Linked DNA regions of Kluyveromyces lactis. The protein of the gene in region 3 interacts with the protein of the main gene of each other region in a biochemical or structural test. Links are inferred from orthologs where the notes say so. Each region holds a gene or a part of one and is shown on either strand. Other genes may lie near its edges. The genes, in order: RCY1, PFU1, SKP1, HRT3, SIC1, DAS1 and SKP2.

Region 1 (4,072 bases), on a different chromosome or scaffold from region 3:
GTTTCAGGGTTTTCCTTTTAAAACCTGGTTTCACCAGATTAGAGAGTTTGGAGATAACAAACACAGAAAGGAACCTAAAATTGACCATATCCTTAGAAATTATGAAACTGATACAAGCCATTCCTACCTTGAGGATATTGAAGCTAAAAGGAAACATTTATAACGAAACTTTAAACAATTTCACAAAGGTTGATTTTGACAATTGCATGAAGTATCTCGCGCTTGATAACGTCAAGGTATTTTACTCAAGTTTTTTTACCGAAGAACAAGAATCGTAAATAAATTTAATTCAGCATTAGTTACAAGATATACAAAAGTTTCAACAGATAACACAATCTGAAACACCTAGTCCATACATAACCTTCTCTACATCCTTACGAACTTTCAACCAGTCCGTTCTTCTTTGCACCAATTCGTAAATTTCCTCCTGTGTGAATACACCTTGGAATTTCCCCACGTCGCAAATTAATTTGCCAAGCTCTTTAGAATCTTTGCCAGAAATAAGATAAAGCTGTCCGACGGATTTCAGACCAGCAAAGTATGGAACAATATTTTTTTGTTTTAATTTCTTTGATATGAAATCATGATAATAGTTGAGATCTGCTATTAAAAATATGGCCCCATCTTCAGAAATTAGATGTTTTTTAATATTCTTTACGGCTTCATCAAAAAACCTTTCTCCAACTTCTTGTTGGAAAACATCAATGGTTCCTTTATCTGTCGCACCAGTCAATAAAAAGCAATGTTCTGAAAGAAGTTCAACACAAGCAACAGCACATTTCGAGGGGAGGATTTCTCTTCTTAAAATGTCCTTAGGATCTGGATTGAAATCGTCTGGGAACTGCATTGTGTTGAAAAGAAACTCGACTTGGTCCATAAGTTTATCGATACCAATGTTTAGCCCATTAGCAACATAATCATCAAGCATAGTTTCGAAGACTTTTTTAGTATGAACCACATCATTAAATATATCTTTGTTTTTATTAATAATTCCTTTCGCAATAAGTTCATTGTTGTAGAAAATAGATATCATTTGCAATATTATGTCGCCGATGTTAATTAATTCCGTGAACTGAACCAAAGGTTCGACTTTATTGTCATCATCTGAGGTGCCATTGATGCTGAGTTTTGCCAATTTTGTTTCATTGGCATCGTAATCCTGTAAAAGTTGCAAAGCCGTCTCGAACCCCAATTTAATATGGTTTTCACTTAATTGCCAGATCAAAGTCTTATAAATTTCTTGGCATTCGGCTTTGACTACAGATTCGAAAACTTTGATGGTTTTGAAATAATAAATCTTTTCCATATGTTCCCGGCAAGATTGAATGACCTTGTAACATAAATCAAGGCTGATTAAGGAAGTGATGTTCTGTAACTTATTATTTATCTTTTGCAACGTGTAAGACATCTCTAAGTCTTGATCAGCCTGCGATTTCGAAGCGTTGTTATTGATTTTGAATATTTTAGTAAAAGATTTAAGGAAATTTGTTTTACCGTCCAATAACTCCTCATTGGTTAGAGTCCTATCCTTTAAAGACTGAAACAACTCTTCGTCTTTTTCCCTCTGTTTAAGCTGAGTTTGTTCTTGATAATCTTTGAATGCTTTTTCTGTTTTGGTTGTAAAATCAGAGACCATTGTATCGAAAAAGTTCTGGATTTCTGGCTCCAAGTATAACTGAATGAATTCAGCTACAAATCGCTTATAAGATTCGCCTGCATTAATACTTGTAGTGAGTTTATCCACTAAATATACTGACATATGGTCACATATGGTCGGAAGAGCCATTATTCTGATATTATTCGGATCCAGGTCATCATTTGAAGAAATTTGTTTATTGAAATATGGTATTAGATGATCCTGGACAAAGTTTTCAGTGTATAGCACCATAACAGGATATTTATCCTGGAACAATTCATCAGTGATGGTAATTTTGTCGTTGAGGAAATCTCGAAATGTATTTAAAGCAAGTTCCAATTGGTCATAACGTAGATTGTCTTCCTCGTCGAATATCGTTTGCGGCAGCTCGACCGAATCTGAAAACTCATTTTTAGATTTAAAGAAGTCAACAGCACTCATTTCATGGCCTAATGATAGGAGAACTTCAACGAATTTTGAGCAAGTAAAATATTCCTTTTTATCAAACCTAATATCCAATTCTCTTATTATGCTGGTGGTGAATAACTCCTTGAATGTGTTGAGGTTTTCCTCAACCTTTTTATAATATGACCAGTCATTATCATTTGATTTGATGTACTTTTGGAGACTCTCTATTATCTTTGCTTGTGATACTGGATCACTGTATTCATCAGGGAAAAATGCTGTAACGTCATTGTAATATAGTTTGTCGGTAAAACCTTGGAAGAATTTATAAAACAGCATATACGCATTTTTCGGTCTCTTAGGGTCGAATTTTTTATGTATATCAAATATATTGCATGCATTTAGTGAAGTAGATTCGTCGAACAGGTAGCCAACCTCCGCTATCAGGCCTATGCCCTTAATTTTATCTAACCAATAATCTTTATCGGTAACTCCATTCAACTGTATATGGTACAAGTTTCTGTTGAGACATTGGAATGATAAATAATCGGATGTGTTCAAACTGAAGGCTATCTGTTTGACTATGTTACTCACTTTAAGAATGTCAGCAAAAGTCACAGCGGAATCCATAGTTAATAATGATGTCTCTCGTAAACCCAGTGGCATCAATGTGTCAGCATCCTCTGGAAATGTTCTCTTAATTTGTATGTTCCTTTTAGTTTTCCTCGATAGATCCACAATTTGTTCTCTGTTCAACATATCAATATTATTATTTATCTAACTAATATAAGAACTATTGAAACATTTGAAATATTGTAAAGCACGCACAAATGAAATGAATGAGACAGACAAGGGCAGTAAAACTTCGCAAGCTACAAGTCTGAATATGGACTCTTTTGACTATCTGTCTGTTCCAGATGGGGTAGAAGTGCCGGCAGATGAATCACAAAGGCGGAGCATATGGAAAACGGTTGAATATGTTATAAGGAACGGTGCAACATATGAAGAGAAGTTAAAGAGCCAGGATATTGGATTCACTCAACCAGGCAACAAGTACAACGACTATTATGCATTCCTTTTAGAGCATCAGAGATCAAGACAGGATACTCTGGTGTCTACTAAGAATGAACTGGATCGTAAACCGAGTGAACCCTATCCATTTGTCTATAGTACTTACCGAAATGATATAGGGCAAAAGGACTTGGAACTAATAAAAGCAGCGGCTCATTTTTGTGTTATCAATAATGATATTAACTACCTTGAGAAACTAAGAGAAAGATATGCGGAAGACCCTCGATTTGCATTTTTACGGCTTGATCATTCTTTGAACTCAGTATTAACTGATTTTATTAATCAATACGAACAGATTTTATCAGAGGAATACGGGCCTATAGTACGATTGGAGGGGCCGTTACAATCAACTATTCTCCGAAGGGCATTTCAGAAAGCAGAATATATGGAATTACAGGATGAATTGAAACAAAAGATGAAGGCAGACATAAAAACATCTAGAATAAGATTCTCGGCTTATGAATGGGAAAAATTTGAATTGGTAGGAACTGTGACTATTAGCGAAGAAGAAAACTTAGAACAGCTACCAGAAGCCTTGAATTTCGATATATTGAAAGCAACAAAGCTCACCAACGATGTTGACATTTTTAAAACAGAAGATGTCAGTGCTGCAGCTCAAAAGAGAAAGAGAAAGAATATGAATATAAGAAAGGCGGGTGAAACTAGATTGAAAAAGAAAAGCGGACTAAGCAACACCAGCGAACACATGCTCAAATGTCCAATTACAGGAAGATTGGTCCCAGAACCCGATTTTGATTCACACTTGAAAATCTTGTTAAGCGATCCTGAGTTCAAAGAAGTACGAGACAAATATGAATCAAAACATAAGTTAACTAATTTGTCTACATCAGAAGTGTACGAAAACATTAAGCGGATAGTGTCGCAAGACAACGCCAACCCTGTAAAAAGGCAGAAAATATAGACGTATGTATGCCTCTGTATGTATTAATTTGTTATATT
Region 2 (3,281 bases), on a different chromosome or scaffold from region 3:
TATGACATTGTAGCAATTTGATGGAAATATCGACATCTTTCCCATTGGAGTAGGATTTATTACTAGAAACGTTAGCAATAGAAGAGAGTATCTCCCTATTAATGATCAACTGGTTATCAAATTCTTTTGAGCCTAGATTTTCGAGTGATGTTAATAGATTGTGTTGGAGGATAGAAGTGTTGACCTCATCGGAAAAATTGTAATCCTCAGGTTCAGAAGTCTTCAATATACAATGTGAGATATTATTGACCAAGCTGGGTAAAAATGTATCTTCCTCTTCATCTTCAACTTCTTCAATTTGCGCATCATTTTTCGAAGTATCAATTTCTCCAGAATTGCAAACTGCTATATTGGAAGTGCTTTCAATGCATTTACAGACTTGAATTAAAACTTCAGAAAGGGAAACGAGCTGAACCAAAGATAAAAACTTCTTATGATCTACAAAGGAGCATAAGAGGTCAAAAGAAGTTCCGACAAGTAGGTTGTACTGTTCGTCTAGAAATACATTTTTCATAGAAATAATCAATTTGAAAAGTGGGACAGCTACTCTTCTTGCTGCTCTTTCATAATAGGTATCGTTATCCATGGCCAAGTTAGAAATTAAAACAACTGTCCTCAATTGCAATTTAACAACGTAGTCTTCCTCGTCAAATAGACCAAGTATCCTGCCAGCGTAGTAGTCGATAAATTCGTTATGTTTGGTACAGTCGCCATTCCAAAATACCTCCCTATTAGCATCATTATCAACCAGGCAATTTGCAATGGATCTTACTAATTCTGAAGAGATTTGAAGAAATTGTATCCGTTTACTTGATTCTTGGAATGCATAATCCAAAAAGGAATTTAGTACCCTCAACAATTGACTTAATAGACCAGTTTCTCTAATAAGGTCTCTGTTTGATTCAGCACGTAGATGCACCGCTAATTGTTCAAGAACTGTAATATAACTTTGTAAAAAGACGTCCTGGACAGGAACATCCTTTGGATTAGCTGCATTGAGCAATGGTTGCAAACCAAATAGTATCTGCTCATATTCCATTTTTGGACAATGGACTATGGGCTTTAATCGTGGTTATCATTTTTATAAAGTGGACAGTCTCGCCAAGACCGCACTTTCAATGATCGATCTTTAAACATACAATTGCTGACTTTTTAAGATTCTACTCATAAATGTCAACAACACACATAGGTAAACAAGAAAGGTAAGGTCATAAAATAATACTGGTTTGACAACCCATGACTAGAATTCTCTCGAATATTATCTTGATTATGGCATGAGTTAACAGGACTCGGTAAGTGACCTTCTGTAATAGGTCAGATGACCTATTATTTCATACACATAATAATACTTTCGGTAGCTGCAAACACTTTTAAATAGTGAAAAATCGCAAAAGTTGAGCATTAGTAAAAGCATCGACTAATTGCTAAGAAACTAATAAGGTAAGTAATATATTTCACATAGTCCATCTATGAGAACATATCCGACGGCTTCAAGAAACTATGGCTAATAAAAGAAGGCCAAAGAAAGTAAAGCCTCCTTATAGAAAATATGTTGGCGGTGTTGGATTCACACACACTCAAGGGTTCAGTCAAATAGCTGAAGAAAATGACACAACGAATATCCAAAAGTTTAATGAATTACAAATAAACGAAATACGTAATCCTTCTGATAGCGAGGAATCACGACTACAGGGAGATTCTGTCCGATCAGATGTAACTGATTACGGTGGTATGAAGCTTCCACTAGAAATATTTGACCTTACGATTTCTATGATGAGTCCGCAAGATATCAGGATGAACTTAGTGCTAGTGTGTCGAGCATGGTATCTTATATGCATACCAAAATTATATCGTACACCAAAGTTAACTAGTCGAAACTTTTTAAAGTTTGTGGAAACGGTATTGGCAGATAGGAAGAGAAAAACATGTGAGCACGTAGTTCATTTGGATTTATCTCCTATTATACAGAGTGGGAAGAATAGCTATGTGTCAAAAGTGCTACGACGTTGCTCTAAAAATTTGGTTTCATTTACAGCGCCACAGACTAGTTTTGGAATAGCTCCTTTGATCAGTCTTAAATCCTGCCAAAACCTTAAATACCTTGATTTAGGATTGGTATCAGAAACAGTCAATTTAAAAGAATTATTCTTGGCGATCAAAAACTTCCATGAGTTAACACATTTATCGTTTCCAAGAAGTTCCATTCAATGTGACGGATATAGAGACTTCCAATGGCCCCCAAATTTACAATATTTGAAGCTCAGTGGTGGGATCACAAATGAGTTCGTGCAAGAAACGATATTTCCTAATACCATCAAAATCTTAGAGTTTTCATTTTGTCCCCAAATTAATGAACATTCAATATACACAGTATTGGCCAAAATTGGTGATAATTTGACACAACTATACTTCCATTATCCAATGCCAGCCTTAAAGGACAATTCCTTGGATCATGTATTCAGGTACTGTTCCAATTTAAAAGTACTACAACTAATGATAGATTATTGCACCAGATGGGTTTTCAGTGAATACTTCTTTACGCAATTACCATATCCTCGGCCGCTTAGAACCCTCATATTGGAATGTAGCGGCCACCTTGGTCAAACATTCAAAGTACATCCTGATGACTTAACTATAGCGATATGTGAGGGTAGATTGCCTTGTTTAAAAATTATCCGAATTTCTTCTAGGCTAGGTTGGGACTCTCAAGGCGATGACGTCGGCGATTTAGTCTCGAGTTTGGAGGAAGAAAACGGCGGGAGCATGTATATCACATACTGAATGCAGTGAAAATATATAACACATAAAATTGATAGAATTTGGACATTTAATAGCCACAGTGCTTATCGGTTAGAATGAATACTCTTATTCAGAGTGCTATTAAATCCTATGCGTACCTTTACGTTGCATCAAAGCCTAAGAAAAATACATTTTTATTTAGATGTCGGATCTTGGCTAAGAATGGTTTACTTTAAGGACAAAAAGATAGGGCCGCAGCCAACAGTGAATCAGAATGACTGCAGGTTCCATCTTTTTCAGCAAGTTTGTTGTTACAAAACAAGTTTTCTACGTATGTGAAATACCATGTAGAGGATATACTTTAATTAGCAAAGTGCAATTATTGCTTTGAGTGATACCTTCAATTTACTAACCGTTGAATTCACTACTCAATAACTTCAGAAAACTAAATATTCATACGCGTTGGTGAATTTAAAACCTTTATTTCCGGGCCATGTGCTAGTTGTGCCGTTGCGTACCGAATGCCTTTCTCTCTCTGATCT
Region 3 (2,522 bases):
TTGGTTGACTCTTGTCCTTATCCTTTTTCTTTTCCTTGTTCTTCTTCTTGCGTTTGTTTAAATTTAGCAACGAACTAGTATTCCCGCTTAGCGATCTTAGTCTGGATTTGGTCTCCTCACCAATGGTCAACGTCATCACAATCCTACACCAAGTATACCAGTAACAAGGGTCCTATGGTGCATCTATCGATGCAGTTCTGCCTTGAATAGATAAAACCAGAAGCAAAAAGTTTCAATTTAAGGTAGCGCGTTCTTTAAATATTATATATAGGTACAAAAATGAAAAATTATCGGTGCAGAGACAGACCTTGAAGCTATAAATGCGATATGAAAGCGATCCCTGCGTTTGCCCATGACTCAAATTCACTACTTCAATTAAGATCCGCTTAACAAGCAAGTACTTAAATTATTGATTACATACGGGAAATGAGGGAAATTGCTATTTTAAACTGAAGAGGATGTAGATACAGAAAGAGAAAACAACAAGAAAACTTGTAAGTTTAACGGTCTTCTGCCCATTCGTTTTCACGTCTTATGGCAGCTTCTTCCTCTGGAGTGAAATCGTTAACGATATTGAAGGTCCTTCTGATTTCTTCAGGTGTTCTGCCCCTAATCATCTCCGCAACAACTTTACATCCAGCATCCAACAATGGCTTGATATTTAGATAGTTAGCTGCTAGAATAATCTCATATAACATTTCTTGGTCCACTTTCAAGAACTCACGGTCCCATGGATCCACAGGCGCAGCTTTCCTCGAATCGTCGTCATCTTCATCGGGGAAATTGGAATCCTTGTGATGAACGGCCCATTCGATCACTTTCTGTAATACTGACGACCTCACATTGGGCACGGGCATCACTATTTCATCGTCACCATCCTCTTCATCATCTTCGTCATCGTCAGCATCGTTATCATCATGCAAATCGCCACTGTTAAGATCTTGCAAGTAGTTCTTTAGTAAAAGTGAGCGTTCAGCGATCTTCCTGTCAACGACAAATCTCTCTCCCTCAACACTCACTAAAACAACGTTCTGGTTTTCCTTGGACATGATTTTCTGGTACTAAATAGAACCCACTTGGTAACTCTATGGTGCTAACTAACTACAAACACCAAGCTCCTATCCACTTGCAAACATTAACTGAGATGTATAACATGTTGATTGACAACCTGTTGGGAATTCGATTCTTTTCGTTATTTGACCTTAAGGAAAAGAAAATTATGATCACGTGGCCATTAAAGAAACAGGAAGAGAAACCCCGTAGTGCCAGTGAAAGAGTAACGTTAACTATAGAACTATCTACATACACGGTATGGAGCGATTTCAGTACTTGAATGGAGGGCCAAGTAAGGTTTTCATAGACCGAAGTTACTATATACGCATGCACTGAGATCGTCAAGTGCCGAGATGGAGTGTAGTTTCTGTAGGAACTTGTTGTTCATTGATACGAGTCCCGCTTTCAACATTTCGTTTGTGCAGTCTTTCGTGGCGATAGAGAATAATGCGATTTGATATGAATTTTTGGATATATCGACTACTTTGGTGTCGTCATCATTCGATTTAGGTTTCGATTTGCTGTTGACATTATCCTCGATTTGTTCCATGATTGTGTGGAATGTTTCATCGATTAAAGACTCCAGGACAATCCATGTTCCAGGTGATTGTAGGCATTTGTTGGTCTCTTGTACAAGTTGTTTTAGTAATAGATTATCCTCGTATAGTACTTTCAAAGCATCTTGTTCTAAAGTTTGTTGAAGAACAAATCTCTCTAAGTTAGGTTCAGGAAGTAGACATGAAATGAACATTTCATTCGATTGTGGCTGTTGAAAGAATTGCTTGTTTGTGGTGACGAATATCTTGCTTATCTTGCCACTGAACTCATCCATTGTCATGATATCTCTTGGGTTCGAATTTTGGAACTCTTCTTTCACCAATTGTTCAATGATACTCTTGTATTGTAGGTATCCACGGTTTAATAACCACCACGATAAGGATAAGAAAGCTTGTTCGTTAACGTATCTCGATTTTTCAGGGTTCGCAGTGGATGCAATGCTCCTTGTGTCCGTGTCAATAGTACCATCGCTGTTTCTTGGGTCAGCTTTTTCACTGGGTAAATTGTTGCTCTTTTCAGTGATCCAACTAGAGAACCAAGATAAGACTGAGTATTGATTAGCCTTCTTTTCCCTTTCCTTTTCCATGGCAGAATTGATGGCAGTATCCAAATACTCTCTTCTTGCCAATATATTCAATTGCAATCGGGTTAAAAGCATCAATAATGATGTGGTATAGGACAAGATAATGATCTTGGTGATAGCTTTGAGTTTCAAATCGTCCCAAAGCTCGGCCTTGGATTTCGTAGACGTTTCAGAAACGCTAGTGGTATCTGCAGATTGCGGAGATTTCGCTGACACACTGGGTGCAGGCGTCATCGCACTCATTCCTGAACTTAAGCCCTCATTTTCCAACTCATTCCCAGCTATTTCACCTTTGGAAAGCTTCTTCTGTAACTTTTTCCCCTTTAGA
Region 4 (2,806 bases), on a different chromosome or scaffold from region 3:
TGCCTGCGTCCAAAATACCCTTTTATAATTAGATGGGTACTTTATAAATCTATCAAACGCAACAAATCTAGGTATACTTGTACCTCGAATCTCCATGCACTCATATATCAAACTCCGCAGATCTAATAGTCCAGCTAATAGTCAACGCTGTAATAACTCGATATAGCAACTTATATCACTCAATGGCTATATGTTTTTCTGCAACGCACCTCCAATAATTCATTCACATTACATTGTTGGACCTTACTATAAACTAAGATGTACTCTGTGATGTTTTCCGGTAATCGAGCTTTTCGTCAGTTTCTATTGAAATCCGGACGCTCTGGACATTTTCACATGGAGAGGATTTAAAGTCACGTGTAAGAAGATATCACGTGAACGGGCTTTTCTCGTATATCGTCTATCACTTAGCATCGCGCGAGCTACAAGTATCCACTCATTAGTCGTGATGGAAGTACAGCTCTCTGGCTGTTATAGTAATCAAATATGACAGCCCTGATCTAGCAGTCACGGTATGACTTCGCCTTCGAGAAATGAAATGGTTTTTCTTTGCTCAATGAGAACTGCATTGTTGTGCCGTCTTGCCTCGTTGCAGAAGAAGCAATCCATTTCAACTTGCTGAACTTCTTGTGACCTCTGTTTGAGATTTTCAAGATCTCGTTAAATTCAAGCCCATCTTTTCTTCTATTCCTCTTGATTGTCAACTGATCAAGGCCGTCGTCTAATGACAGGGACCACGAACATATATCTGAGTCTTTTCTTTCAGAACATCTTTCTAAAGAGAAACCAGGTACCACTATATTTGGTTCGTCAGTAGTCAATAATCTAATGCATCTTCCATCTGGATAGAATCTGAAGTACCTGTAATAAGTGATCATGTGGATTGGGTTCAACAGCGAAGATGATCCTTCCGGGATCGATCCGTGCCTCAAATAATTCACCACACTGATATATATTCCATGGAACTTGATATACGGCCGTTCCTTTAGCATCTTTCTATAATTTTGACCCCATACGGTTTCTGCTAGTGCTTGTATATCTGATATACCGTTTAGCCTCATCTCATTTTCGTTGTATACTTGCTTCTTATAGATGTATTCCGCGAAAGTCCGGTACGGTGAGGAATCGTGGAAGCATAGCAAATTAAACTTTTTACAAGTCAAAGATAGGTTCATCCACGAGTCTGCTGAGCTTAACACAACCATGTCTATAATCATGGATAATATATCGTCAGGGAGCATATCCAAAATCCAGCAGGGAAGTTCAACAAGGTCTTCAGTTTGAGAAAGTCCTTCAGTTTCCTCTTTTCTGCCGTCCGGATCAGTTTCCGATGAACCATCAACAATATTGACATTAGAATTGAGCTTAAGCTTTTTCATCTCTTCATTTAACCGCCATTCATCATGCATCTTCTTTCTATATAGTTTCTCAACGTCCGGATTCATCCTTAATGCTTTACGGTAATATTTGATCGCGTCGGTCATAGCACCGGCAGTTTCCTTCGAATAGCCCAACTCCCATAGTGCTATAGCTTCAATCGGTTCCTCCATTACGCGTTGTTATTTTTCGTGCGTTAGGCCCCTTGGTAATGAGTATGCTTCCTCTCTCTTTTACCTTATATAGCCGACTAGCTTTTTATGCTGTTTACGTTTTGTTCAGCTTTACGCAACAGGAACGAATATAAAGTTACTACCGAGAGATGGACAAGTACGCACAATGTTGAAAAATATGAAGTGGATTCCTTGTCAGTAGCTGCCATCCTCAGCAAATCGGATTTCTTGATTCTTATCTGACTAAAAAGTAATATTAAGTACATGGCATATTTAATATATGAAGAGCTATATAACTTCAAAGTTCATTAATATGTGAATATCACAAGAAACACAGTCGATAAATCATAAATAGCCAGTCCTTCAAGATCTGGTGCATCAATGAAAAGCAGGAACTAAAACAAAGTGCAAAGTGTGTAGTGCTGTATAGATGCTGCTTATTTCATTGTTATGTCACCACCGATTAATTTATCGATTTCATTCAATAAAGTAAAATCAAAATTATATTCAAAGGCAAATTCATTACCATTAGATAAACTTCCCAAGAGTGCAGTGTTTTCAAGTCCAGTATTAGCATTTATATTGCTACTTTTTGACATTTTCATTTCATTATCGTAAAATTTCTTGGCTAGCTCGTAGTTCAATGACGGAGATCCTAGAAATTCCAAGAATATCGAAAGATTGTCCTTCTTAATTGAACCAGTTTTTATGCACTGAATTGCAAGAATCGAAGAATACAGCATATAAATGTTACTTTTCTGGAATGTTTTGAATTTTCTCATAAACGATCTTAATAAAAAGTACAACTCTTCAATTGCGTTTTCTATCGCCTGTTTACTCTCAGGAAGTGAATCAATAAACGGTTTGTTGTAGGACAAAAGGATAACAAAATAATGATACCATACATGAGCCAAAATAGGATTGTAATCGAAGTTGATTAGCGTTGCCTTAGTGAGAGCAAACTCATCAGGTAGATTCTTACGCCAGTTTGAAACTTCACTGTTGAATTTTGTTAGATATTCCCTTCTTTCCGTTAAAGAACCGGCATGTATGAATATCTTCGGGGCGAAAACCTCAGTTATTCTTGATAGCACAATAATCTTTTTTAAAGGTTTGGCAATAGAAGTTACAATTGTAGGATCGTATTGGTAATCTTCGATACCAGTATCAATATTTGGTAGCTCATCAGTTTCTGGAATTGTCGAATTTGACACACGCAAAGAATTTGAACGACCAAACAATACTGCAATCAAGTG
Region 5 (2,738 bases), on a different chromosome or scaffold from region 3:
TCACAACCCATTTCGAGAGACTAATTGAAATCATTAGAATGAATAAATCTGAAGAAAGTCAAGAACTTGCAGAAAATTTACGGGATGCCATTAGCCAAGAGTTTGCAAATTGCCTAATACATCCAATTCTGCCAACAGCTAATGAACTTGGATACAAAGTATTTGAAGATTTGTTGAGGCATAGAAAGAAAATCTTCAAAGAACTCAAGAGAAAAGGATCAAATCCATCATCCAGGGGTTGATGAAGGGTTTTTGTTAATATATATGACTTTTACATAGAATTAACACTCTGCGACGATCAAAAACGACAATCTTATTTCACTGAAATATTCTACGAAAATTATCGTAAGTATTGTATTTATAAATATGATGTTTTAGCAGTTTTTGTTATGTAGTGTTACAGGGGAATTCCATACCCTTCTTTCCTTATGAATTGTGTCGGTACCGTTAGCTATAGTTAAAAATAAAAAATAAAAACCCGTTTTATTCATGTGTCTTACCTACCCATCATGCCTATCTATTTCTTCAGCAAAGAGTCTCGTAGGTTTAAACCTTTGTTTCTCATCGTCAGTCAAATGTCTTTTAGAAACGACCTTCCCTCCTTTATTCACATAAGTGATTGTATCTTCCAAATCAGGGTCCTCAAGTAGCATCTTCTCTTTACGTTCTTTTCGCAGTTTTTCATCAGCAATATTATTCGAAAGAAATGGATTCTCTAAATTACTATGTTGGTTGACTGCCGTAGGTTGTTGTTCAATATGAATATTTTCTTCTTCGTTTTCTGATTGCGATGTATTCAGACCAGACTCGTTATGCCATTTTCTAGCAAGTTCAAAGGTGGTGATCTTGTCACTTGGAGTTCCTGGCTCTTGTTTAGCAAGTTTGAATTTGTTATTGACAGCATACTCATCATTGATATTATAACTTTGAACGCCTTTGAAAGACTCCATTATACCGGTTCTCTTTGGTGGTAGCAAAGTCCTGTTGTTTGAAGTTTCTTCTACTTGGAAATCCGATCCGAACAAGACCCTACTGACAGGTTGTAACTTCTCCTGGTCAAACTCTATCCTGCGTTTCGTATGTTTGTTCTTATGTGGGGTATATTCAGGTGTCTTTAATGCCGGGCATGGACTTGTTAAATTCATGGGTCTAGTAGGTGGCTGCAATCTATCCTTTACTCTAACTGTCCCCGGAGTAACCATGCCAGAGGAATCAGATTCCGCGGCTCGCTCTGGAGTTGCGAGCAGCAAATCTGTCTTATTTGATCTCTTATTCCTAGAACTTGGAGGGGTAGCTGGGGTCATTATTATGGAAATAAGAGTGTAATGCGTAGAATGCAAAAAAAAAAGAGGATAAACTCTAGTATTACCAATTGAAAGCTATTGATATTGTTTTCAGATGTATCGGTGTGTTGATGAGATCTAAATGAAAAGTAGCAAAGATGGTATAGAATGTATACTATACCGATGATATCCCTTTTTCTGTCTAAAACAAAACGGACTGAAAATCTGGCAACTTATAATGAAGCAAAAAGCAGAGTAGGTTGAAACCAGTTTCCAGTAACCTCACTATCGTCAAGAAGGAATTTGATATGAAGAGACTCTGATTCGATTACTTAGGTGCGTATGCAACCGCTCTATGCTGGATATGGTTCGCTGTTAAACTATCTTTATATATAGATATATGTGAGACTCAAAACCAGCATCTTTAATTTTTTTTTTAATGTGAACCACTAATAATATTGAACCAGCAACAATTTAGCAGTCATACTTGAGTAGCAGTAAATAACTTCTAAACAAGGATTGCGTCTGTGAGCAGTGGAACCACTGGAAACTAAGAAAGTTTATGGAACATTCATACGCATTGGGATAATTCAGATCGATCAGAATTGACGATTGACGCTCAACGTTTGACTCAGCATTTTCCTGTATTTCTCAAGAGTATTCCTTTCTTGAATCTTTTGGATCTTCATTAGCGATCAAGAATTTTTGCGATCACAACAGGGCTAAGATGGTATGTTTCGCTGGAGCGCTGCTCTAATTGTATTTCTACATTTATAGACACGCGTCGCGTATGTGTTACTTATTTACTAACTTACCTTAATTATTGTTTCCCACGATATCACTAGAACGCGTTGTATAATCATGCCATCAAGCAGCGAAGTCTTCTAAATAAAGACTTGGGTAAATTTGAGAAAGAGCTCGTAACAGCGCCGATCTCTTTGCAAGGGGCGATCGCCACAACCCTTGTTTCTTTCGAGAAAACGCTTCATCAGTACAAGGAACAATACAAGCAATATCAAATAAATAGTTCAGATGACAACGACGAAACTAAACTAAAGTATGAGACGAGACTTCAGACCTTAACACAGGATTACGAAGATGCAAAAGAGAAATTTACCGAATTGAAGCAAAAATACTCAGAAATTAATGCGAGAGATCAGTTGTTCAACCAGCAAGCATCAATGGTGGAAGAGACCGTGATGAATAAAAGGAACATCAATGCTCCTCCGCAAACATCTTTCGGAATAGGCGCCTTAGATCAGAACAGTGAAAGAATGACTATCAATTCGGCGGCTGGTTTACCACTATATGAAGGATTGAGGAAAGAGAACTCGATCTTTGAGAGAGGCAACGCGCACTTGGACAGAATATTACAGATGGGACAGGAATCTTTGGAAGATATCATGGAACAGAACAGGGTCCTTCAGAGATTGCAGTCTCAGATGACAAAATCTC
Region 6 (3,257 bases), on a different chromosome or scaffold from region 3:
ATGAATTCCCATACTATTATCATGTATTCAAAAGATTGTTCAAATATAAACTAACTTTAAATTTGATCAATAGAGAGGATTCATTAGATCATATGTTGACGATTCTAAAACATGAGAATCATCAAGTTCTAGAAAAATTGGGTATAACCAGTAAAGACGCAGAAATGTCAGACGACGATGTAATAAAAGTCTGGAATGCCAGATTCAGTTTCACTGAAAAAGTAGTTAATTTGAAAGTTGAAATGATGTGTAAAAACTACGAACCAAATCTCTTCTCATCAAGTTATCAGCACGCTCTTGAAAAATTAGAAGAGAGGCATTCGGCCAAGGCAGATGCAATAGATGTCACTCAATTTTTGCAACAAGTCTTTGACTCAACAGATTTTGACCTCTTTTATGGGATGGATGTAGGTGAACTCCCCAAGATGGACAGCATTCTTCCATAATTTTTTTGGGCTTGGTACTTTCCCTCTTGTTCCTTGTATAGAAAAGTACAATATTTAACAATTTCCCATATTCGATTTGTAACCATTATTAAAGAAAACTGGAACAGGAACACGGGCACCTTCTCTCTCGAGAACGATACAAGGTACGTCGTTCAAAACCAAATATCGTAATCTTTTCAAATTTGAGAGTATAGTTGTATATGTCTTTTTATTGTGATGAACCATTGCATGATAGCACTTGATGACGTCAGATTCTGTGATGGGTTCAATCGGGGTTGAGTTTCTATGCATGGATTTATAGTGCCTATTGTATTCATTAATCTTGGTGACGAAGTCCGAGAGATTCATTGGTTGTGTCCTAACAGAAGGGTATATGTCAAATGCTTTTGAATAAGGTAATAAAGAGAGGTATTTCATCATTGTGAATATATCCTTAGCGATCAAATCGCTTAAATCTCTGATCACCATATCTTTCGACGAATTGAAAAATTTACCGTATAGTATATCCTGAAACACATGATTACAATCATCACAATGGCAGTTATGTAAGAATTTGAACCTTGACCCCTCGATAGAAATGATCTGCCTGTCGATATTTTCGAATCTCAAATCTAGGAATTGTAGCTCTCTACAATTTAATAAAATGGACAGGAATACATCCGTTGAAACAGGATGTGGAGTGAACTCATGCAAAAAATCTGTCTTCAACCTTTTCAAATTCTTCAAACGTTTGAAAAGTTCGATGAGTATGGCTGGATTTTGTCTCATAGATATAAGAGATAAATCCCGAATTTCTGTAAACTCGTAAAATTCAGTCAAAATTTCCAATTCTCGTTTATTCAAATTCTCATTCCATGATATGATTGTTAACACCTTTAAAGTTCTCACATCGAAGACATCTGAAAGTTTAGTAAGCTTCGGGTATTGGTTCAGCGGTTTCAATTGATCGGGCGGATAATATTCTTTCCTCCAATGTAGTTTCAAGTCATGGATTTGCAATTTAAATTGCAATGGGTATATGCAATTGAACAACTGGATGGGATCCATGAAAAGAGTCATGTGTGACAAGTTAGAAGAAATCCGTTGCTTTAAATATTGAGCTAAATTAGGCAAATACGTTCTGGAAACTTCTCCCTCGGGCATGGAATTAGGTGGGGCACTATCGAAACTGGTGACATTATGACGCGATTGGATTCCATTTGCAATAATATCGTTACAATCCGGGTCCGTAACGTTTTCCAATCGTATAATGGATTTAGAGTACGTACATAGCAACCTTAAAACTTCTGCCTGCTTCTCTTTATCCAAATCCCAATTAATCCGTATCCATTGAATGGAATTCAACCTTTCACTGTTCCTAGATAAAGTGCGTATAAGAAGATCAAGTTTCGCATTAGCCAACCCACGAGACCAGCACTCTGCCTCGTTTGGGGGCATGTACAAGTATGTCCAGTTGATAGCGAGGTTGACTATATCACTCTCTACTACATTCGAATCGTTCAAATAAATTCTCCGATACAAAATCGGCAGTGCTAGTTTTGAAACCCGTTTATTCACCAAACATAGGTTCAATCTATCTCGCTGCGGTACATGAGTAATGACTTCAGCTAAAAGCTCGTCTGGAAGTGATTCCAGTGGGAATGTATCAATCATGGATAATAAGTAATCAAAAGAGCAATTTGTACGGCGTCTTTAAACAGCAATCTCTCCTCTTAGTAACATAAAGCTCCTCTAATATACAGCATACAGCCATCAAGAGTGAAAGAAGTTTAGTGTTTTTGATGGTAGAAGCCGGCAATAAGAATCGAATGACTGGGCTATTGTATTCAAGCATAAGGTAGGCATGTTAAAGGGTAATGAATTCCTGGCAAAGAACGAACGGAAGTGAAGTTTCGAATTCCAAGAAATTGAAATCAAAGTCACGTGAGTAGAAATGAAGATCACATTGTACGGAAATCCGTTATGCGTTCCTTTCCTCAATCAAACCCGCGACATCAATGAAAAGAACAGACAGAACAGCCGGGTACCTTGAAGAAGAACTTCCAGAGAGCCATTTTATGGTATATAACTGGGGTAAATAGACCCATATTCAACCGGTAGATTATCGAAGAAACCCAGTTAACCCAGTTAATAAAGGGGCTACACTGCGCTGGAATATAATAAATTGAAATGAAGAACTACTCCCAATTTAGTTGAACTACTAACAGTATAAGAACTGGGTGTGTGGCCGAGTGGTTAAGGCGCCTGCTTCAGGGACAAGAAATGAGCATGCGGACTCAATGCGGCATCAAAACCGTCTCCGTCGCTTTCCAATTGACACATTCTGCTTTACCTTTGGGGGGGCCAAGAAAATTGCGATAGCCGTTTCCTTAAACCTTTAAACAGAGGTTTTCTACGCAGTTTTGTGCGAGTTGTAAGGGGCCTGGTCCGAAAATCAAAAATTTGTGGGTCCTCCAGAAAATCTTCACTGATTGCTTGGCGGCTATTGGGTGCGGGTAGAGCAGAAGTGGATTGCGAGTGACGGACACGGTTACCCGGAATATGCAGGTCTGTTAATGTTAACAGGCGCGAGTTCGAACCTCGCCGCATCCAAATATACTTTTTTTTGTTGGGTATCGATCCTTTTCATTCCGGTTTCTCTGGCATATACCATTACGCAATTGCTAATGCTGATTTAACGAATGTTTCTTTAGATATCAACCACTATTTATTATTTACTATTTACTTGTACTTACGGAAAGGCGTTTCCTTGGGTGGGAGAGTGATAGTCATCATACTTTTTCTGGTATTTTTCCGCTTCACAAGAACTCA
Region 7 (3,846 bases), about 840 kb from region 3:
CCAATTTCTTAGATTAAACCCTCTAAAAATTCTATATCTCCCAATGTATATTTTGGCTAACTTATAACTCTCCAAAAGCGCTCGGTTGGCCCTGTTCCTCTCCCCCAAGCTCGATATAGATCGCGTAAACTTTTATTCTGAAATGGAAATCCTCATCTTCTCACTTCATAGTCTCTCATTTCAGATTTTCTATCGATATTGAAAAGAAAAAAAAGTTAGAAGTGCGATAAAGAGAGAGAGAGGGAAAACTGACAGTTACTGAATGACTCTATGGATGATGATTGATATAAACTGAAAACCAGTATCGCATCAACCTTTCGGAAAGGGAGGCAGTTCAAAGAGTTCAAATTTAAATTTTCTATTACATGATGAACAGATTTGGTTTGGTCGTTCGCAATGCTGCGAAGAATGGAATCAGAATCATAAGACCGGTTACAAAGTCATCGCCTGAAATTTATCGTCCACTATTTAGTCACCTGGTGCGTACTACGTACAATACCAGAGGATTCCATGCGAGTGTGCGAAAGCTTGATGAAGCAGAAGATGCTGCTGCTAAATTCAAAAATTTAGGGTCCATGAAAGTGGATAAACCGATGTTAATGATTGCGTTCACTTGTAAGAAATGTAATACTAGGTCATCGCACACAATGTCGAAACAAGCATACACTAAGGGAACTGTGTTAATAAAGTGTCCTGGCTGTGACAATAGACATCTTATTGCAGACCATTTGAAAATCTTTAACGATAATCATATTACTATCGAGGATATCATGAAGGCAGAAGGTGAGTCTGTCTCATTGACCACCGACGATTTGGCATTTGAAGATATTCCGGATTCGTTGAAGAATGTTATTGGTCACTACGCAAAGGATGCTCCAGAAGAAATGAAGAAAAAACTGGACAACGAAAAAGTGCATCATTTGCCAAGTACTGAGAAATGAATATATACCGAATGCTTGCTCTTACTTCTCCGAAGTAAGAGACAAGGGTTCGTAATCACTTATTTATAGTTTACGAATTTCGTACGAGCTTTTTTGTATACACATATTTTATACTACTTCAATCATTCATGCATTCTTTTTGACGCAAGTGCTTTCACTCAGAGCCATTTTATGGCCTGTTTCTTGTGCCTTACATCGTGAATAGCGAACTATTCTTGACATTTCCGGACAAAAATCGTTAACTTAGAAATTCCAGCTTCTGAACTCTTCAGATTTACCTGTATAGATACGCAAATGAACAATATGTACAGAAAGAAATCTCTGATAACACCATTTGATGATCGACTTGTCAATGGACCTGTTGTATGTTTGTGCAGGCTTACCCGACAGACTAATTGTTAAGCAAAATGAGAGGACTACAGTTGTTTGGAGGAGGAAGTAGGAGAAGTGTTGAAAGCGAAAGGCCTTTATTGAATACCAAAGAGTCAGTTTTAGTGCCTACTGGACCGCACCTTTTGAAGTTACCAGATAAATTGCTGGAACGAATCCTGGAGAATCTTGATATTCCAACATACTTGTCACTGATACAAGTCAACAAGAAGTTATATCAGCTAATTTGTGAAAGGTTTTTATTTAAACATGTGGTTTTAATGAATAAGAACGCATTGTTAAAATTCAACGCTTTGATTGAATGCAAAAGTCTTACTCTGAGAAATGATATCAGTTATCTGGTGAAAACTGTTGAATTCGTGGATCCAGAATATCATGATTCTCTGTTCAAATATAGCAAATACTATAACACTGGGTTTGCGGACACTGTAATAGGTGGCTCGTATTCATTCAGTGAAAGACAGGGACGATCGACAGATATCAGAACATCGTCTAGATCTGCATCCGTGTCCTCTACAAGATCAAGAACTAAACAAGGTGCTTCAGAGGTATATCATCAACTTTCCAAACTTGAATCTAAATTCCTTGACTACACTTACATTGAATTGATGCTAAATATCATAGATTCACTTCCTAACGTTTCACACGTTATTCTCTCTCAGGTGGAGAAGAACTTCAAGATCCCATTATGGTATTCAGTTTTAAATGATGGCTCTAAGGATTTCTTCAAGAAGATTATTAAAGGTCAAGGGTCAATGACAGTAGAGGATTTGAGAACATTTAGGGTTTCCAGTGATTGGATTAAACAATACGAGGAAACATTCCATTCTCTATCTAGATTCAAACGACTATCTATCAAGGCGAAGACTAACCTAGTTCTAAAGCCTAACTTGCTTTGTTGCTTTGGTGTTTTTGATGAGTTAATGTTGGAAAATATCACCATTACTCCTGAATCCATTGATACACCATTGGAATATTTGCCGCTATATATGCGAATAGGACACGACAAATGTTTGGATCTACATCTTCCAGTTCAAACATTGGAACTCAAATCCTGTGTCATCAAAGCTGGTAATGGACTTATGAGATTATTGTACTCGTTCTTTTTCCGTGTCAGAAAGTTATCATTGTTTGATCTTCAAAGTAAATATGATCTCCTTTTGATAAATTGCTTTGGTTCTCTCACGCACCTAACCATAGACTGTAATAGTACATGCTTTGTCAATGTCAAACCTACTGATGAGTCATATTATTTTCCAGAAGAACCTATGCAGGACGATATGGATGATCTCAAGACACTGATAGACCCTCAGAAAGGTGTAAAACTAACAGCACCACCGCCAACTACACCAGTGGTTGTTGTAATGAGCAATGGGAAGTTAATAAACACCGAAGCTAGCACACCACGGAAACCAGCACTTTTAACAACAGAACAAGCACATTACTTTGGATCCTCATCGATATCTCCTTTCCATTCTTATTTCCATCATTTCAAAAGATTGTGGGAACGGATTCCAAACTCAGGAGTACATTTGACAATAGTTAATATCCCCTTCACGAATGTATTTCCCTTAGTTCCTGAACTTGTGTGGGAACGCTTTTTGACTAGTGATCAAGACACCCTCTACGATAATTCAGACGATGAAAATAACCATGAGTTGGACGAGTATTGGTGGGATCCAAAAATAAAAGAAAATCTTGAACGAGCGACTCATTTCAATAATGATATAGACATCTCTGAAGAAGATTTTTCACCCAGGAAATGGAATGATTTCCATAGGATTAACTCTTTCAAGGACATTCCTAATGTCAACGTTTGGTACTTCTTGAAGCTTTTGTCTAAGTTTCAGTCCGTTGAGATTCGAATGTTACGTCAATGGTTGTTCTGCACTCCTCGTACGAGATATGATTGGGAACTCTTATTACGACCTGTGTTAAATGGCAGAGTACCTGTCACAGTGAAGGATAATGCTGGATATTTGTTATATTCCTATGGAAATTCTAAAAAAACATGATTGAAACTATATCTAAAATAAAGCCAAGCACCATACTACATCCTAAGATGAGGTTTGTTCTAGAGAGTCTTAATCCATTTCCTGAGTTTGAAGCCTTTTTTTCTGGTCCAGTTAACTTCACGGAACCTACTTCATTGACAATCGAGAACTTTGGGCTCCTACTTAACTGATTTCCATTTGCATCATAGTATTTGCTATTGCAAGTTAAGTCTGACTTGTCTAAATTCACATATTTACCTTTATCGCATTTAACACCCTTTCTGATAAATTCAGTGGCTAATTTCGGAACTACTTTCGCAGTGATATCCAAATTGGTGTATTTGTTGGTACATGCAGGACTGTTGTTAACTATCCTAGATGTAGACTTGTCTTGACTTATTTTTAAGTCTGTGCTTGTTGGATGTGGTGTTTGCTTGTATTGGTTTTTGAGCGCCTCAAAGTCCTCTAATAGATAAACATCGCCGGTCTCTTCATTAACTGAGACCAAGCCGTAATTGTTT

The links.
Region 1: the proteins of SKP1 (region 3) and RCY1 form a complex in vitro, tested with the Saccharomyces cerevisiae proteins (2 studies listed by BioGRID). The link is inferred for Kluyveromyces lactis from reciprocal best matches to the Saccharomyces cerevisiae genes SKP1 and RCY1.
Region 2: the proteins of SKP1 (region 3) and PFU1 form a complex in vitro, tested with the Saccharomyces cerevisiae proteins (2 studies listed by BioGRID). The link is inferred for Kluyveromyces lactis from reciprocal best matches to the Saccharomyces cerevisiae genes SKP1 and PFU1.
Region 4: the proteins of SKP1 (region 3) and HRT3 form a complex in vitro, tested with the Saccharomyces cerevisiae proteins (2 studies listed by BioGRID). The link is inferred for Kluyveromyces lactis from reciprocal best matches to the Saccharomyces cerevisiae genes SKP1 and HRT3.
Region 5: the proteins of SKP1 (region 3) and SIC1 form a complex in vitro, tested with the Saccharomyces cerevisiae proteins (3 studies listed by BioGRID, with this or other methods). The link is inferred for Kluyveromyces lactis from reciprocal best matches to the Saccharomyces cerevisiae genes SKP1 and SIC1.
Region 6: the proteins of SKP1 (region 3) and DAS1 form a complex in vitro, tested with the Saccharomyces cerevisiae proteins (2 studies listed by BioGRID). The link is inferred for Kluyveromyces lactis from reciprocal best matches to the Saccharomyces cerevisiae genes SKP1 and DAS1.
Region 7: the proteins of SKP1 (region 3) and SKP2 form a complex in vitro, tested with the Saccharomyces cerevisiae proteins (2 studies listed by BioGRID). The link is inferred for Kluyveromyces lactis from reciprocal best matches to the Saccharomyces cerevisiae genes SKP1 and SKP2.

What each region holds. Positions count from the first base shown.
Region 1 is NC_006039.1:296,529-300,600, forward strand, and holds RCY1 (Rcy1p), read right to left. Parts: upstream 2,801-4,072; coding exon 320-2,800; downstream 1-319. Other genes in the region: KLLA0_C03278g (uncharacterized protein), read left to right, coding at 1-278; PRP21 (Prp21p), read left to right, coding at 2,877-4,034. UniProt on the Saccharomyces cerevisiae protein: Involved in recycling plasma membrane proteins internalized by endocytosis. Required for recycling of the v-SNARE SNC1.
Region 2 is NC_006039.1:870,935-874,215, forward strand, and holds PFU1 (Pfu1p), read left to right. Parts: upstream 1-1,500; coding exon 1,501-2,781; downstream 2,782-3,281. Other genes in the region: BEM4 (Bem4p), read right to left, coding at 1-1,039; HNT2 (bis(5'-adenosyl)-triphosphatase), read left to right, coding at 3,014-3,070, 3,181-3,281. UniProt on the Saccharomyces cerevisiae protein: Substrate recognition component of a SCF (SKP1-CUL1-F-box protein) E3 ubiquitin-protein ligase complex which mediates the ubiquitination and subsequent proteasomal degradation of target proteins. Probably recognizes and binds to phosphorylated target proteins.
Region 3 is NC_006041.1:1,507,385-1,509,906, forward strand, and holds SKP1 (SCF ubiquitin ligase subunit SKP1), read right to left. Parts: upstream 1,050-2,522; coding exon 501-1,049; downstream 1-500. Other genes in the region: YSP2 (Ysp2p), read right to left, coding at 1-136; PEX3 (Pex3p), read right to left, coding at 1,355-2,522.
Region 4 is NC_006042.1:1,812,962-1,815,767, forward strand, and holds HRT3 (SCF ubiquitin ligase complex subunit HRT3), read right to left. Parts: upstream 1,551-2,806; coding exon 501-1,550; downstream 1-500. Other genes in the region: CHA4 (Cha4p), read right to left, coding at 1,988-2,806. UniProt on the Saccharomyces cerevisiae protein: Substrate recognition component of a SCF (SKP1-CUL1-F-box protein) E3 ubiquitin-protein ligase complex which mediates the ubiquitination and subsequent proteasomal degradation of target proteins. Probably recognizes and binds to phosphorylated target proteins.
Region 5 is NC_006040.1:496,913-499,650, reverse strand, and holds SIC1 (cyclin-dependent protein serine/threonine kinase inhibiting protein SIC1), read right to left. Parts: upstream 1,305-2,738; coding exon 501-1,304; downstream 1-500. Other genes in the region: GTPase-activating protein RGD2, read left to right, coding at 1-242; BOS1 (Bos1p), read left to right, coding at 2,011-2,013, 2,129-2,738. UniProt on the Saccharomyces cerevisiae protein: Substrate and inhibitor of the cyclin-dependent protein kinase CDC28. Its activity could be important for faithful segregation of chromosomes to daughter cells. It acts in response to a signal from a post-start checkpoint.
Region 6 is NC_006037.1:558,896-562,152, forward strand, and holds DAS1 (SCF ubiquitin ligase complex subunit DAS1), read right to left. Parts: upstream 2,100-3,257; coding exon 501-2,099; downstream 1-500. Other genes in the region: OAF3 (Oaf3p), read left to right, coding at 1-446; PAM17 (Pam17p), read right to left, coding at 3,245-3,257. UniProt on the Saccharomyces cerevisiae protein: Substrate recognition component of a SCF (SKP1-CUL1-F-box protein) E3 ubiquitin-protein ligase complex which mediates the ubiquitination and subsequent proteasomal degradation of target proteins. Probably recognizes and binds to phosphorylated target proteins.
Region 7 is NC_006041.1:662,797-666,642, forward strand, and holds SKP2 (putative SCF ubiquitin ligase complex subunit SKP2), read left to right. Parts: upstream 1-1,348; coding exon 1,349-3,346; downstream 3,347-3,846. Other genes in the region: ZIM17 (Zim17p), read left to right, coding at 366-941; GAS4 (1,3-beta-glucanosyltransferase), read right to left, coding at 3,333-3,846. UniProt on the Saccharomyces cerevisiae protein: Substrate recognition component of a SCF (SKP1-CUL1-F-box protein) E3 ubiquitin-protein ligase complex which mediates the ubiquitination and subsequent proteasomal degradation of target proteins. Probably recognizes and binds to phosphorylated target proteins.